3 linked regions of the Drosophila melanogaster genome follow. The protein of the gene in region 3 interacts with the protein of the main gene of each other region in a pairwise test. Each region holds a gene or a part of one and is shown on either strand. Other genes may lie near its edges.

Region 1 (5,640 bases), on a different chromosome or scaffold from region 3:
CTCTTTCGTTTTCCTCTAAGCATGAGTTGGGATAATTTTGAATGCTCGTTGTAATACGGCGACTGGAATAAATTAGTTATATTTTTGATTGAAAGAAATCGTAATACAAAGGAATCCAAATAAAAAGCAATAATTTTTAAAATGAGAAAATAATATTTTACCCTTGTTCGTGGACGAATGAATACCAATTGTACTGATTTTTTGAAGATATGGCGCTTGTCCGCCGAATGAAACTTATTGTTAATTATATACGTGTAGTTATACATTTGTAATGGCATTGAATCTCGTTTTAAAATGGCATAAATATTCACATGAATGTTGATTGAATTAAAAGTTCATAATATAATTGATCGATTGCAAACCAGAAACTATATTAACCACATTGTGCAATTTTGCTTAAATAGACCTAGGGATTATTATGCCGTAATTGTTAAACAAAACCATTTTTTTAAACAAAGAAGCCCATCGTGCACCCACAATCCGCACGCCCTAGGTTTCTCAAGTTAGTCGGGACCATTTCAAAATTAATCAAAGATAGCAGAAATACGAAAGAAACACTAGATTTACACAAGGGCTACTTTTAGGTTCATGTCAGCGTAGTTTTACATTAATGCAATATGTGATTTTACACATGGTCCACTAAATCAAGAGCCTAAGCAAAACCATTTTGTTAACGTGTGCAATGCGACCTGCTGTATCAAATATTGAGGTCGGATCGAGAATTTGTAGATTTTTAACTATTAATGTGAACACTAGTAGTGTAGGGCAAATCACACAACTATTCCATAACAATCTAGATGTCCATTAAATGTATTATAAATGTCCATTAAGTATTATAATCACCAACAATTGCAGCACAATGGAATTTAACGGATTTGGAACATTCAAGGAAACCCCCAAATAATACGTGCATCCTAACATGTGTGTAAGATATCCGATCTATAACAGATAGTTAAAATATATACATATAGCTGTAATTGATTTTTGTCCAGAACTCTGTGTATTATTCTCGCTCAACATGAATGAATATGAATTCGAGCCGAAAACTATATAGGAAAGTGATAAAAGCACACTCGATTTTGCACAGATTGTCATATGATGTATAAGGAAAAGCGAAAGTCAGCCATAAATGTAAGAAGCAGCAGAGTGGTGAAAAGTTATCAATTGAATGCATGTTTTAATTTTTCCGCTCCGATAATATATGTCTAATGAGTGTGTATTAAATGTGAAAAGTTAAATTTAAATGTTTTCCAAATCGTGTTTTATTTTGGGGGTTTAATTACAAGGTGCACGGTCTGCAAGCAGGGTAAGTAAAAATTAGTTTAAATGTTGAAAAATGATTTTCATCCATATCATGATTAATTGACTATGTTATATTGTACAAACGTTCACATTTTTTAAAGCTTGCCATAGTAGCTTTCGTTACTATATAGATACTCACCACACTTGATTTACCGAAACTGTTAGCTTACATAGTATGTAGGTATGTATTTGCTAACAGACAGCTTAATTGTTATCTACTTTGATGTCGTGGCATTTGTTTAATAGAAGTAAATTTCGTTTCACCATTTACATGAAGAATAAAGAAGAAAAAGCTATGATAAATTAAAAATTAATACAATTTTACATTTTACTCAATAGTAGTATTTCCAATTAGAACTCTGTTCCAGTTGGAATTCTTCGGTATATTTGGTATATTCCTGGGAGAAACAATGGGTCACACTACGAAGTAGAGGAAATAAATACAAACAAATTGGGCTGTGTAGCGGAATTTAAATTTAAACTTTATCAACGGCAGTGTTAATTAGCGAACCTCTCGGCAAAAATGAATATAAATCTGCCGAATTTCAATGTGAAGAACCTGGTGAAGGAGGCGGGCAGCACAATATCACGAGTGGTGCAGGTGAACAAATCAATGAATTTGGGTGGCTGAAAAAAAAGCGGGTGGTGGTGAACTTTCGGTGGTTGGGCAAATGACAGATGTACCCCAAACCAATCTCAAGCACTTTCGTTGTTTCTTTGCCCTTTTCAACGGCTCTCCATTGTTTTCAATGACCTTTTCAGCTCACGGAGGAGAAACTGGGCACCACGGAGCGCACCGAGTACGACTTGCACTTCCAGAATCTCGCCGAGCGGGCTGATGTGACCAAGACATGGACGGAGAAGATAGTGCGCGACACAGAGTCGGTGCTGATACCCAATCCTCAGAACCGGGTCGAAGACTTCATCTTCGAGAAGATTGAAAAGTCGAAGCCAAAAAGGTTGAGCAACCTAGAGCACCTGGCTCTGGACATGATCGAGGCTGGGGGCGATTTCGGGCAGGATTTACCCTATGGTCAGGCTCTGATCAAGGTCGGCCAAGCGGAACAGAAACTGGGCCAGTGCGAGCACGACTTTATAGCCACCTCGGGCATTTGCTTTACACAGCCGTTGCGCAAGTTCCTAGACGGCGAAATGAAGACAATTGGCAAGGAGCGAGGCATCCTGGAGACCAAGCGCCTGGATCTGGACGCCTGCAAGAACAGGGTGAAGAAAGCGCGCAGCATGCTGGGTCAGCAATCGGTAAGTGGGTGGGATTTGATGGGGTTTCCTTATTGCAAGGGGGTATGATTGATTGGGTTTCGTAATGGCTTTTTCACTCACGGTCTTTTTCTGCCCTCTGCTGCCCGGAATTTTTAGAAAGATGGCATCTCGCCAGAGGCCGTCTTGGAACAGGTATCAAAACCTTGACCGAGCTCGTGCTCTAGATTTATGGCTAATCAATGAGCCAATTTCTAATTGCGATTTTTTCTAGGCGGAACGGGACTTGCGGGTGGCTCAGGCCGAGTTCGACCGGCAGGCGGAGATTACCAAGCTGCTGCTGGACGGGATCAGCACATCGCAGGCATCTCATTTGCGCCACTTGCACGCCTTCATCCAGACGCAAGTGCGCTACTACAAGCAGTGCGGCGATGTCATGGAGCAGCTGCAGCGTGAACTGGCCAAGTAAGTAGTAGGCGATCGATAGAGAATGACTGTGACTTCCACGTAGGCACCAAACGAATCTTTTCTTGCACACCAAAACACCATGTCCCATCCTTGATGAAACCCGTGGTCCCTTCTGGTGGTCTCACTGTGCGTTATGATATCTGCTTGTGGTCTTACAGAATGCAGCATCCCAAGCCACGCCTGCGTATCAATAGCGAAGACGTTGATTGTGGGCCTCCCAGCTCGGTGTCGATGCATTCTTGTGATTCCGATTCATTAGGGGGGATAGCCCTAGATAGCGATCCAGATCCCGATTTGGACAAGTCGCTTACGAATCTGCTCGAAGACTTTCACATAGAATTCGATACGACAGCCGTCTCCACAGTTTAGGGGTCTTGTTATTGTGATCTTCATATCGAATCGGATTCCATGCCCAGTTAACATTAGCATTTAATTTCAAATCATACGTACTAGATAGGTTGCTGTTATCGGTAGTTGTTGCACTTTGTAAAGTCAGGTTTCAGCAGCTCATCTCTCCATTTAGAGCTCGCTATCAAATCGAATCAAAAACTCATTAAACTCTGCATCTTCCATCAGCTTGGGAGGCCCCACGCCATACATTCCGCTCGACGTGAACGAGGCCAGTGCCAGCAAGTCCAACATATCGTCCGGAGCCGCAGCCCGTGGTCCTGGCAACAATCACTCTGCCAATATGGCTGCCACCGGCCACAAGCCTAATCAGCCCATGCACGTCAGCACGGATCAGATGCAGAGGGCACGCGTCCTTTGCTCCTACGACGCCAAGGATCACACCGAGCTTAATTTGAGCGCCAATGAGGTAAAGTAAAGAACAAATAATATCCTAAGCAATGCTTATATATAACTCATTTTTCAGGTGATCTTCGTGACGGAGTGCTCACCAGTAAACGAGGATTACATGTACGGAAAACAGGGTCTATTGAAGGGTCTGGTGCCACGCGCATTTGTTGAAATGCTCGACGAAGAGCACGATGTCACCCTCTAAGCCCTCCAGCAATTTGTTCAGCAATAATCAATCATTCAATAATCTCAAGCAAAATTAATGAACAAGAAAATACTCCAAGTACGGCAATACTCATATGTTAAGAAAGCAGACACGATCGAGAGAAGGGAACGGCAATTGGACAATTAAAGGATGCGGCCAAAGCGGCATTTGGCACTAGCAAGAGAGTACAATAATTTATTAGAATATACATACATAAATATATACAAGGCATAATATACATACATGAGCGTGTTGGTTAGTAAAAGCATTGTAGATTAGCCTTCGGTAATAATCAAACCCAGATCCATGCCCAAAGAGCTACGCTACTCCGTTGCACAGATCACGCTGTAATCAAATATGCATTCTGGCTGCCTGAAAAACCGTCAAGTTATACATGTAAATTTATGCAATTCCAAACATTATGATTGTTAAATCTAATCGCATATCTAAAGAGAAAGTGCTGTTTTATTAAGCTTCTCTACACTCGAAAAAGTATTATATATGTGTTATGTTTGTCAATATCTTAGTTAACAAGCGAAATTCTCTGTGCTTTACTATATATCCTATAATTATAAACGTAAGTATGAAATTGTTAATCCTATTATCTATATATTCAGCGAAGGCGTTTCCAATTATTATCTAATATATTTGCTGCAATTATTATGTTACCAAATTTTTCGTGCAATTTTTGAAAGTCAATTAAAAGAATATTGCTTGTTACATTTAAGGCAAAACTTTGAAACACCAAGGCGCTTGATAGCTAAAAAATAACAGATAAATATTGTTGAAAACGTACAATACAATAATTAAAAAGTAAACAACGATGATTTTTAGGTTTTCAGCAAACAAACAATGTTGTAATATGAAAAGCGAATTTTTAAACACCAACTATTATACTACATAATTACAAATATATGATCAAAATTAAAACAACAAAACCAAATTAAGTTCGATTTATTTTGTATTTCATTAGATTGCCCGTCCAGCTTTGAAAATCAGATCGAGATGGTAAGTGCTTTAAATTATATTTGTGAGCTTTTCTACGTAAAAGGAATAGAGGTGATTTGATTTCAAGAGTTCTATTATCTGAGTTCATTTATAGATGATCAAGTATTTGTTACTCATTTGTTCAATGATAGTGCATAATCACTTTAGAGAGATTTCGTATGTGAGAGCGAGGTGAACTTTAGACTTCAGCGATTATTATTTACAAGACTTTATTGGCATTCATACTAGGTTAACAATCAAGGGCTTAAAATTCGTATAAAAGTATATTGGTCTAGTTTTGATCCAAGATTCCAGTCGTAGTCACACCGCCATTTTCCAAAGTGGTCTTGGCGATGGTGGAAATCTTCTCATTGAGAGACCTATGATGACTGGATGTGGCAGCCTGTAGATTCTTAATCACTCGATCAGATGCCTGAATAGTGAGTGCCTTGGTCATGTTGAGCTCGTGTTGTGCAGTTGGCAGATTCAGATTGACTGCACGGGATGATCGCGATTGCGTCACAACCATTGCATAAATATCAATGGCTGCATTTGCCAGTCGTGTTAGCAAAATTTGTTCGTTAACTATGTTTTTGTTGTATCGCAGCAATAGTTCTTCCACCGATTGTCCAAAAAGATCAATACAATGGGCCGTTTTTTTG
Region 2 (3,459 bases), on a different chromosome or scaffold from region 3:
AGTTTATATCTTCTTGTGCTCCGGCATCGGATCTCTGACTGTGATGTCCTGCAAGGCATTGGGCCTAGCCATACGGCAGACGCTGAATAACGGAGGCAACGTCTTCCTCACATGGATGCCATGGTTCCTGATCCTGGTCACCGTCACTTTCATAGCCATCCAGATGAACTATCTGAACAAGGCGCTGGATATATTCAATACTAGTATAGTTACTCCAGTGTACTATGTAATGTTCACCACCCTGGTGATAGCTGCGTCTGCCATCCTCTTCAAGGAGTTCACCCACATGCGGTTCGATGATATTCTCGGCGATGTGTGCGGCTTCCTGATCGTTATCACAGCTGTGTTCCTGCTCAACGCGTTCAGAGATATTGATATATCGCTGAACGATGTACGTGGACTGATGCGACCGAAAATGCAGCGGGTGTCGCAGTTCGACGAGGAGGTGCTGGTCACCAGCAATACCAAGGAACGGCGGCTGTCCTACGGATCCAGCGACATCTTCCGGAAGGCCTGACACAAGCAGCGCTACCAGGTCTAGTTACATCCCTTGCAGCGGCTGACCTGAAGACAAGGTTGCTTTACTCCGTAAACGAGGCATTGGTCCAAATATCTGTGCATATCACCTGCAATCACTTTCATCTCATCATTTCCATTTATTGTTCCTTCACTCTTGTTATTCATACATTCGCTAGCATAAGCACATAGGTTTAGGTTACACTTACATATATTAAACACGACTTAATGAAAACGATTTGTAATTGTAGTTTTATTTTTTGATTTTTGATATGATATTCGTATCTATGTATTACTAAAAAAAAACCATTAAAATATTCTACTACATTGGTAAATGTAGGTCGTTCCAAATCGAACGACAATATTCATTGCAAATAATGTGAGTACATGCTCAATCGGATTTAGTAAAATAAATCTTCAAGTTATTTTCAAGGTTTGTTAGTTAGTAATTTAATGAAGTATCTATGTATTCTGAATTTCGCCCTTGCTGGTCTTATCTGGATATTTTAATCCGTTCAGCCAGATGCAGTTGCTCAGACTTTTAGCGGTGTGAAATGAGTCATCGGCTGAGTTATCCGGACTGTTCTCCACTGGCGGAAGATCCTTTGGTCTACGAATCTTTCGTGGCGTGAAGAAGTCGCGATCTGTGATTAAAGGAAATCGCTGGCTTTCATTTGGAGCAACCGCAGGTAAGCTGATCTGCGGCTGGAGTGTCAGTGAGTCCTGTTTCAGGGTCATTCTTCCGAAGTTCCGGATGATGGCAATCGCCTCCACGTCCACCATTGTGGTGTCCTCCCAGTCCTCCATTGTGGCGTGCTCTCCCAGCGGCTTGGTGCCAGCTACTCTCTGAATCGTCTCCATCATTTGCAGACTTTGACGAATCTCTCGGCCCTTTCCACCCCGCGTGCCATATCCAAGCAGATCCTCGCGGGCTGTCAAAAGCTCATAGGTATGAATGGGAACGGATTCTGAGAATTCCTCTTTCTTCCTCAGTTCATAGGCGATCTGTCCATGGACCAGATTAAAGTGCGGCTCCAACTGCACCAGATCGTGCTCGAATCGTGATGTGGGAACCCAAGCCATGATGATTTCAGTTGCTTATAGTATTCTCACAGCCTTATTTTCATTTCCCGGAAATGCTTTTCTCAAGTAGACTGCGCAAATATTTTCGAAGATTAGAAATTCAAAATCACACATTCCTATCGATAGCGATAAAAACGTTTAAACGCTTACAGGTGAATCGCAACTTATCGATTGTCAGTCGGCAAATAGAACAATAAACAGTTTTTTAATTAATCCAATTTGGTTTACTTAAGCAATAAGGATGATTTGTATGCGGCTCCGGGTGTTGCGTAATCTCAATCGCAGCGCTTTAAATGGATTTAGAAAAGATTACATCCGATCAACCGGTGTGAATGTCAATTATTCAGCTGTCAACTTTCCGGCCGCCATTAGAACGCTGAAAACTTTTAGCAATTCTATCCTAACCAAGGAACCGAAACCAATCTTTGCATTTATCGCATCTCAGCGGCAGTATTCTTGCGAAAAAGTAGGCAAAACAATGGAGGAGCACTGCGTAGTTCCGGATGTGATCGCCAAGGCACCGGCGCAGACAGCTGTGGTGGAATATCCCGGCGATATTGTCGTGAAGCCGGGTCAGGTCCTGACCCCCACCCAGGTGAAGGATGAGCCGTGCGTGAAATGGGAGGCGGACGCCAATAAGCTGTACACCCTCTGCATGACCGATCCGGATGCGCCCAGTCGCAAGGATCCCAAGTTTAGGGAGTGGCACCATTGGCTGGTGGGCAACATACCCGGTGGAGATGTCGCCAAGGGCGAGGTTCTCTCCGCCTACGTGGGATCCGGGCCTCCACCAGACACCGGACTCCATCGTTACGTTTTCCTGATCTACGAGCAGCGGTGCAAGCTCACATTCGACGAGAAGCGACTGCCCAATAACAGCGGAGATGGACGCGGTGGCTTCAAAATCGCCGAGTTCGCCAAGAAGTACGCCCTCGGCAATCCCATTGCCGGTAACCTCTACCAGGCTGAGTACGACGACTATGTGCCCATCCTCTACAAGCAGCTGGGCGCTTAGTTTCTACGCCAAAAACCATGCTTATATAAGCCAGTCTGAATTGGATTCAAATCTATTGTAACCTAGAAATTAAAGACACCTATGAACACTCTGTGAAACCCTCTGTTGCTGGCAATAAAATTGTTAAAGACATATTAACTAAGCCACTGTATCTTATTACACATTTTCAATATTTTCATATCTTATCTTGTTAATTTGTCTGAAGTAATAATTCGGTTACCCTTTGCTGAGGCAAAACAGTTTCTGTGCTGGTTATGTATTTATTATTCATTCCAATTACAATCTACTTCTTTATCAATAGGATTCTTCTAGCGTCATTTGTATACATACAGATTTCATGAACTTGAGTTTATATCTCGCCAAAATACATGCTTTGAAGATACAAGACATAATTGCTATCGGACCTTCCAAATAGGAAGAACGTTTCTGATCAGTATTATAGTTATTTCCCAGGGCGCAAGAGACGCCCATCTGGGTAAGTTATTTATTTGTAAAAGCATTGCGACATAATTACAATCTACTTCTTAAAGTCAAGAGGATGGTTCTTCATGTGTGCAATAATAAAGGTCTCTAATACAACTAGATGCAGACTCATACAATCCATAAAATAATGCTGAAGAAGAACCCACGCTCTATTTCCTCCTTTGATGGGTCCAGTGCATATTCGGCTGTTGAGAAGGAGGGGAGGTGTCTAGTTTCCAAATTACTTTACTCTATAGAGGGAAAGACAGTGCGATGGTCTTTCCATTCGGTTTCGCTGATTGCCTATAAAAAGCAAGGTCGGAGTTAGTTAGTATGAAATAGGCTGCATGACTATGTTACCAACTTACCACTAGCTCGTCGAA
Region 3 (5,146 bases):
TGATGATGACCTAACCCAACATTGACTTGGTTCACCTAACCCTTTGTCCCACGGCCTTTTGAAGTCGCCAAATGTTACAGCCAAAGGTAAACCGAAAATGAAAGCAAAGCCGGAGAAACAGGTGGAGGCGGAGGGCACAGGCTCCTCGTCGGAATTGGCCACGGATGACAACGATGACCTGGGCGATGGGGATGAGCCCGGTGATGGCGGAGACGGAGCAGGTGGTGGAGGAGGCGGTGGCGGTCTGGTTGGCATCATTAGCAGCCTGAGCGGTGTAAGTGGAAGGCTAAGAAACCCATAAATATTTATTTAAAATGGATTTATTTAGGGTGAAGGTGGTTCCGATGTGGGTGCCTTAATTGGTGCCCTTACCGGTGTGATATCCACTTTATTTGGAGTAAGTATTGAAGTTTTCCAATCAATCAAGGGTATTTAAATAGAAAAACTATCTTTTAGCCTGGAGGCCTAGATGTGCAAGGTCTGATTCAAACGGGAACCTCGCTGATCTCTGGTCTTCTGGGCGGGAATAAGAACTTTGGCCTCGTGTTGGGACAATATGTGGGCACTGCTTTGGATGGTCTCTCTGGAGGTGGTGGAGCGGTGGGTTCCTCAAACCTATTTTCATGAATTTCCAGTCATTTTACTTGCATATATTATTTTTTCCAGATTAACAATGGCCAGTTTATAGGCAACTTCTTGGGCACTGTGCTGGCCGCATTGAGCGCTGTATTTATATATTTTGCTTATATATATATTTACCTTCTAGATCCCAACCTCATAACTGTGTTACTAACCCCTGAACGTCATTTATTTAGCGAGTGCAATAAACAACATTCTACAATCTTTAACAGGATCCCGAGGAGGAGGGCCCACCGCAACCATTGACCTTCACCAAGAACCTGATCACCAGCTTCCTGGAGGCAAAGTTTCGACCAATTTCAGAGGACGGCTCAGAGGAGCGACACGGAAGTGCGGAGTTGCCACGCCCGCGAAAGAAGAAGGAGGGCGGTGGATGGGCAGCTGCGGCGGCAAATAACTTTGATTCTGGAGGATTTGTGAAGCAAGTGGCCTCCCATCTGGTGAGCAATGCCCTTGGATTGATTTTGAATGCCGGTCTGGGAGCCGCTGGAGGAGCTTCGAGTGCAGCCAAGAATATTTTCGCCAGCAGCAGCATGGGTCATCATGCCAAGCCGGCAGATCACCATAGATCTTGGAACCCCTACCATAATGAGCCATTCTAGCCAGCTTAGTCATCACATAATCATAGTTACGTTAATCGTTTGTGTTAAACCCATTTTTTTTTTGCTAGTTCGTAACCGAAATAAATAAAGAAGTGAGGAGAAAGACTTGTTGGTCACTTGGGCAGCTAAGAAAGCGTAAAAGAGGGGCTCTAAATCAAGTGGCGTAACAGCTTGGACAGCGGCTGATGCAAGAGATCCGATGGAATTCAGTGGGAGCCACTGCAATGAACCACTCCCCCAAGGATGCGGTGGGGCAAATCACTGGATGGAAACGCAAAAAGCGAAAGCTCGCAATGAGCGGAAGTAAAAACTAAGTAAAGGTTGAGGGGTGAAATAGCTTGTTTGGGTTCATTTCCTCAAACTAAAGTTCAGTGGAAGGTAGAACAGGGGAATGAACTACGGATTTCGGCTCAGGAGTTTCGCTTCAAAAATTAGTTTTAAATACATTTGGCAATACCTTAATTAACTAATATTTAAATTAAAAAGATAGAATTAATATATATTTTGTAACCCAATAGCCTAATAGCGAATATTTTTGGATCTTCTTGACCCAAGAGTTTTCCCTGAACCTTTCTCCGTGGGCCAACTACTTGGTAGCTTGCCCAATGGAGCGGGCATTGTGTCACTTTCTACTGATTACAGGTTTCATTAAAATGCTTTTACTTGTTTACTTCTGGTGCTTTCTCTGACTCTCTCGCTCTCTCTCTTCCGCCTGCTCTCTCTCTCTCTCTCTCATTCTGTCTTTCTCTTTTTTTTTTTTGAAGTGGGCTGAATATTTTTTTAGCGGCGAGTTTCAGTTTTCAGTTATGCGTGAATCTTTCACAAGACAAAGTGACATTTTGCGGGCCGTTTAGTTGTCGCGTTTTTAATTTGAAAAACTTCAGGTTGTGTTTATTGTTTTGTGTTTTTCTTGTGCGCTCAGTGTTTGTGCTGGTTTATTTGCATTTTGAAATTGTTTATGAACTCAATTATATATTTGGGTGCTTCGGAGAGTTCGCATTGCAATTAAGTTTGGCAAGCCGCATTTTTATTTTATTATATTTCGGGTGAGTATGTATATAAGGCGGCTGAAAGCCGAAAAAAAGGGAAATAAGCGACAATCCCAGCTCAAAATGTATGTCAAAACGAAAGACTTAGGCAACGAACTTGCTAACTGGGCTAAGCCTCAACTGAAAATGCTGGCATAGGTCAGGTCTGTTCCAAAAACAAACAACACTACGGGGGGCTATTAATGGAGGGGGTTATTGAAGAGGGGGGGGGCGCTATTGGTTAGCGTTCGTCCATTAATCGCTTTGGCTACCGAAATTTGGCAACAGCGCCGACGTCAACAATGCAAAAGTGAAGATTCAAATGCGTTAATTGCTTCATAAATCAATTAACAAGAGCCTAACCAATCGTAAGCCGAAAAAAGGGAGAGTTTTATTGTTCTCCTATGACTTACGCTTTGTGTTCAGTGTCATATTTGATTGTTGATTATATTAAGCTATATGGATGGTGTCCAACATTTACTGGTTGACGTGCTACTTAAAATGCTATATAAATTACAAATTTTACATACATTTTAAAAAGGTTTTTTGTTTTTATAGGGAAGTGATTTGAGGGAACTTTCCTTTTTACTCTATTTCATTCGCATTTCATTTGAATTTTCGGGGTTAACTACCTGGTAACCTACTACTCATATTCGGCCTGACCCCTGGTCGCTGTCATGATTGAGGATGAACCAGAGTCAGAGCTAAAAAGACACTCAAAAATTAAAAAAAAAAACAAAAAAAATCACCAACTTGTCTGGGCCATGCAAGAGTGGCCTGGCCCAAAGAAACCGGTAACGGTCTCAAGGTCGTTCGTCGAATCGATGGCTCTGGCCAGATAAGCCTTAGCCCAAGATACAGCAGCCAGTTTAGCCATCAACGCGCTTTGGGCCAAAAGCTAAAAGCTATCAGCCATCAACTCTAAGGCATAAGCAATAACAAAACTCAGTGATGATAGCTGGGCCAAAATAAAAAATAAATAAATAAAATCGAAAACGAGGAAAAAAGCGAAAGTGAACGCCATGAAAGTGGAGCAGTCGAGCTGGAAATCCGCCGAAGGCAAACCGGCGGGGGGGGGGGGGTTGCGTCTCTTCATAAACAAAAAGATATATATGCAGGTGTCATATCTAAGTCGGTCAATAAGTTTATTGACCAGGCGACGCTCCAAATTGTGCGGTTGTTTCGGGAGAGTTATGCAAATCGATTGTGGCAACCCGATATCGAAAAGCGTAGAAACTTATGGCCGTTAAACAATGCACCCTTTTATATTTTTCGGGCCGATTAATATGCAAATCTCGAAATTTCTTATCCACCACTCGATATGTTGTGGCTTTATGTTTCAATTATGAGCGTTAAAGTCCGTATCGCAGATCTTGTATTATACGAATTTTCACACATTTTTTATGATGATATTTTTCCTGGGCAGTAAATTATAAGTTGATGCGGGTCTGGGCGAATGACTGTTTATGTTATTACCGGAGTGTTTTTGCCTATTATAAAATATGTTTAATACTCTTGAGTTTTATTTGCTTGGCAATTTCATAAGCCTTTGGCATTTTCGTTTAGCTTAGAAGTGATTTCCAATTTACGCCTCATTTAACAGCACTAAGTTCTGCACGGCAATTAAGCAAAGTGATCAGATTTGAAATGCCTTTCAAAATATCTAATGCCAAAATGATATTATTACGGGGCGACCTTCGCCGGCCGCCAGTGGCGAGATTTATTAATACTATAATTACAATAATGGCTGAACAAACAAATAAACGCTACATGACAGCAGAATCTGAATCTCCGGCAACCTTTGCGCAAAATCAAACGAATCATTTTTGCCTGGCCAAGAACAAAGTTCGTTTGTCCGATTCTAATACTAATTCTCAGACTGAGTTTTCAGTGAATGGTGGTCAGTTATTTAGTCTGTCGGCAACGCCTTTTCCAATTAAATTCGACCCGGCTATTGGGTACAAAGCAAAAGCACTCGATGCGAAAGATTGGCTTACAAACGGTCTTAATATAAACCGAATTAACTTTATTTTTCCATTAGAGTATTACACATGTGGTGCAAATCTTCGTGGGATTTGCTAAGTTAATTGCAACTTTTTAGAGATTGTCTACACACAACAACTAAAAGTCATTTGAACGTATCTCTTAAAACAAAAATATCAATTCTTTGGCAAGACGTTCTATTGCTTAGTGATTGGTTTTAAAGATATATGGTACCTCTTTTTTTTATATCTTGCCTATACCTGGCACATATTTATTTTGGCATATTTTAGATATTTATTAATAAGTAATCCCAGTCTTAAAAACATTTCCTTGGTCAAATGTCAAATGTACTGGCCGTAAAACACTTGCGCAAAGCCATCAGCAGTTCATTAGAGGCCCATTGCTGCGGCGGAGTTGAATACATTAGATGGAAATGGATGCGGAATCGAGTGCTGGCTTCTCCTCCATCTGGTTAACGAGCCGCACTCTCGGTCCAAATGAATTGGTTAATGGGTAATGGTTATGACCGTCTTCCCAACTTGCGGCGTGTAAACGGTTACTCGTTAAGCAAGGGGGTGCCCAATAGACCTGTTACCCGTTTCACTATATCTATTTTCCATTTTAATTTTATTATTAATTTTTTTTTCTCTGTTTTTCCTGCGTGCACTTAGCGGAGTCATTGTGGCCAGAACAGCGATGAGCAGGTGACATTAATGCCATGGCCCAAAACTGAGCAAAACCACACAAAAAAAAAAGAAAGAAAAAATAGCAGCCAGCGCATAATGCATAATGACAACCGTTGCATAACCCCCCCGCCAGTTGGGCAATGCCAAATTATGCCCCGACATGTTGGCGAAGGGTATTATGCTATATGCTATATGGCGTATGCTATAT

What was found. Proteins that work in one complex are often made in the same cells at the same time.
Region 1: the proteins of CG43386 (region 3) and EndoB interact in a two-hybrid assay, tested with the Drosophila melanogaster proteins (one large-scale study listed by BioGRID).
Region 2: the proteins of CG43386 (region 3) and CG6180 interact in a two-hybrid assay, tested with the Drosophila melanogaster proteins (one large-scale study listed by BioGRID).

The regions. Positions count from the first base shown.
Region 1 is NT_033778.4:19,306,738-19,312,377, reverse strand, and holds EndoB (endophilin B), read left to right. Parts: upstream 1-1,712; 5' UTR 1,713-1,825; coding exon 1,826-1,903; intron 1,904-2,064; coding exon 2,065-2,562; intron 2,563-2,679; coding exon 2,680-2,715; intron 2,716-2,794; coding exon 2,795-2,985; intron 2,986-3,146; coding exon of another isoform or gene 3,147-3,351; intron 3,352-3,564; coding exon 3,565-3,805; intron 3,806-3,862; coding exon 3,863-3,991; 3' UTR 3,992-4,931; downstream 4,932-5,640. Other genes in the region: Acadvl (Acyl-CoA dehydrogenase very long chain), read right to left, coding at 5,271-5,640.
Region 2 is NT_033779.5:12,705,931-12,709,389, forward strand, and holds CG6180 (uncharacterized protein), read left to right. Parts: upstream 1-1,730; 5' UTR 1,731-1,840; coding exon 1,841-2,614; 3' UTR 2,615-2,750; downstream 2,751-3,459. Other genes in the region: spict (spichthyin), read left to right, coding at 1-517; CG15484 (uncharacterized protein), read right to left, coding at 979-1,599; CG5787 (uncharacterized protein), read right to left, coding at 3,323-3,379, 3,445-3,459.
Region 3 is NC_004354.4:9,974,300-9,979,445, reverse strand, and holds the start of CG43386 (uncharacterized protein), read left to right. Parts: upstream 1-2,040; 5' UTR 2,041-2,287; intron 2,288-5,146. Other genes in the region: CG15252 (uncharacterized protein), read left to right, coding at 65-274, 329-397, 457-600, 667-726, 852-1,241.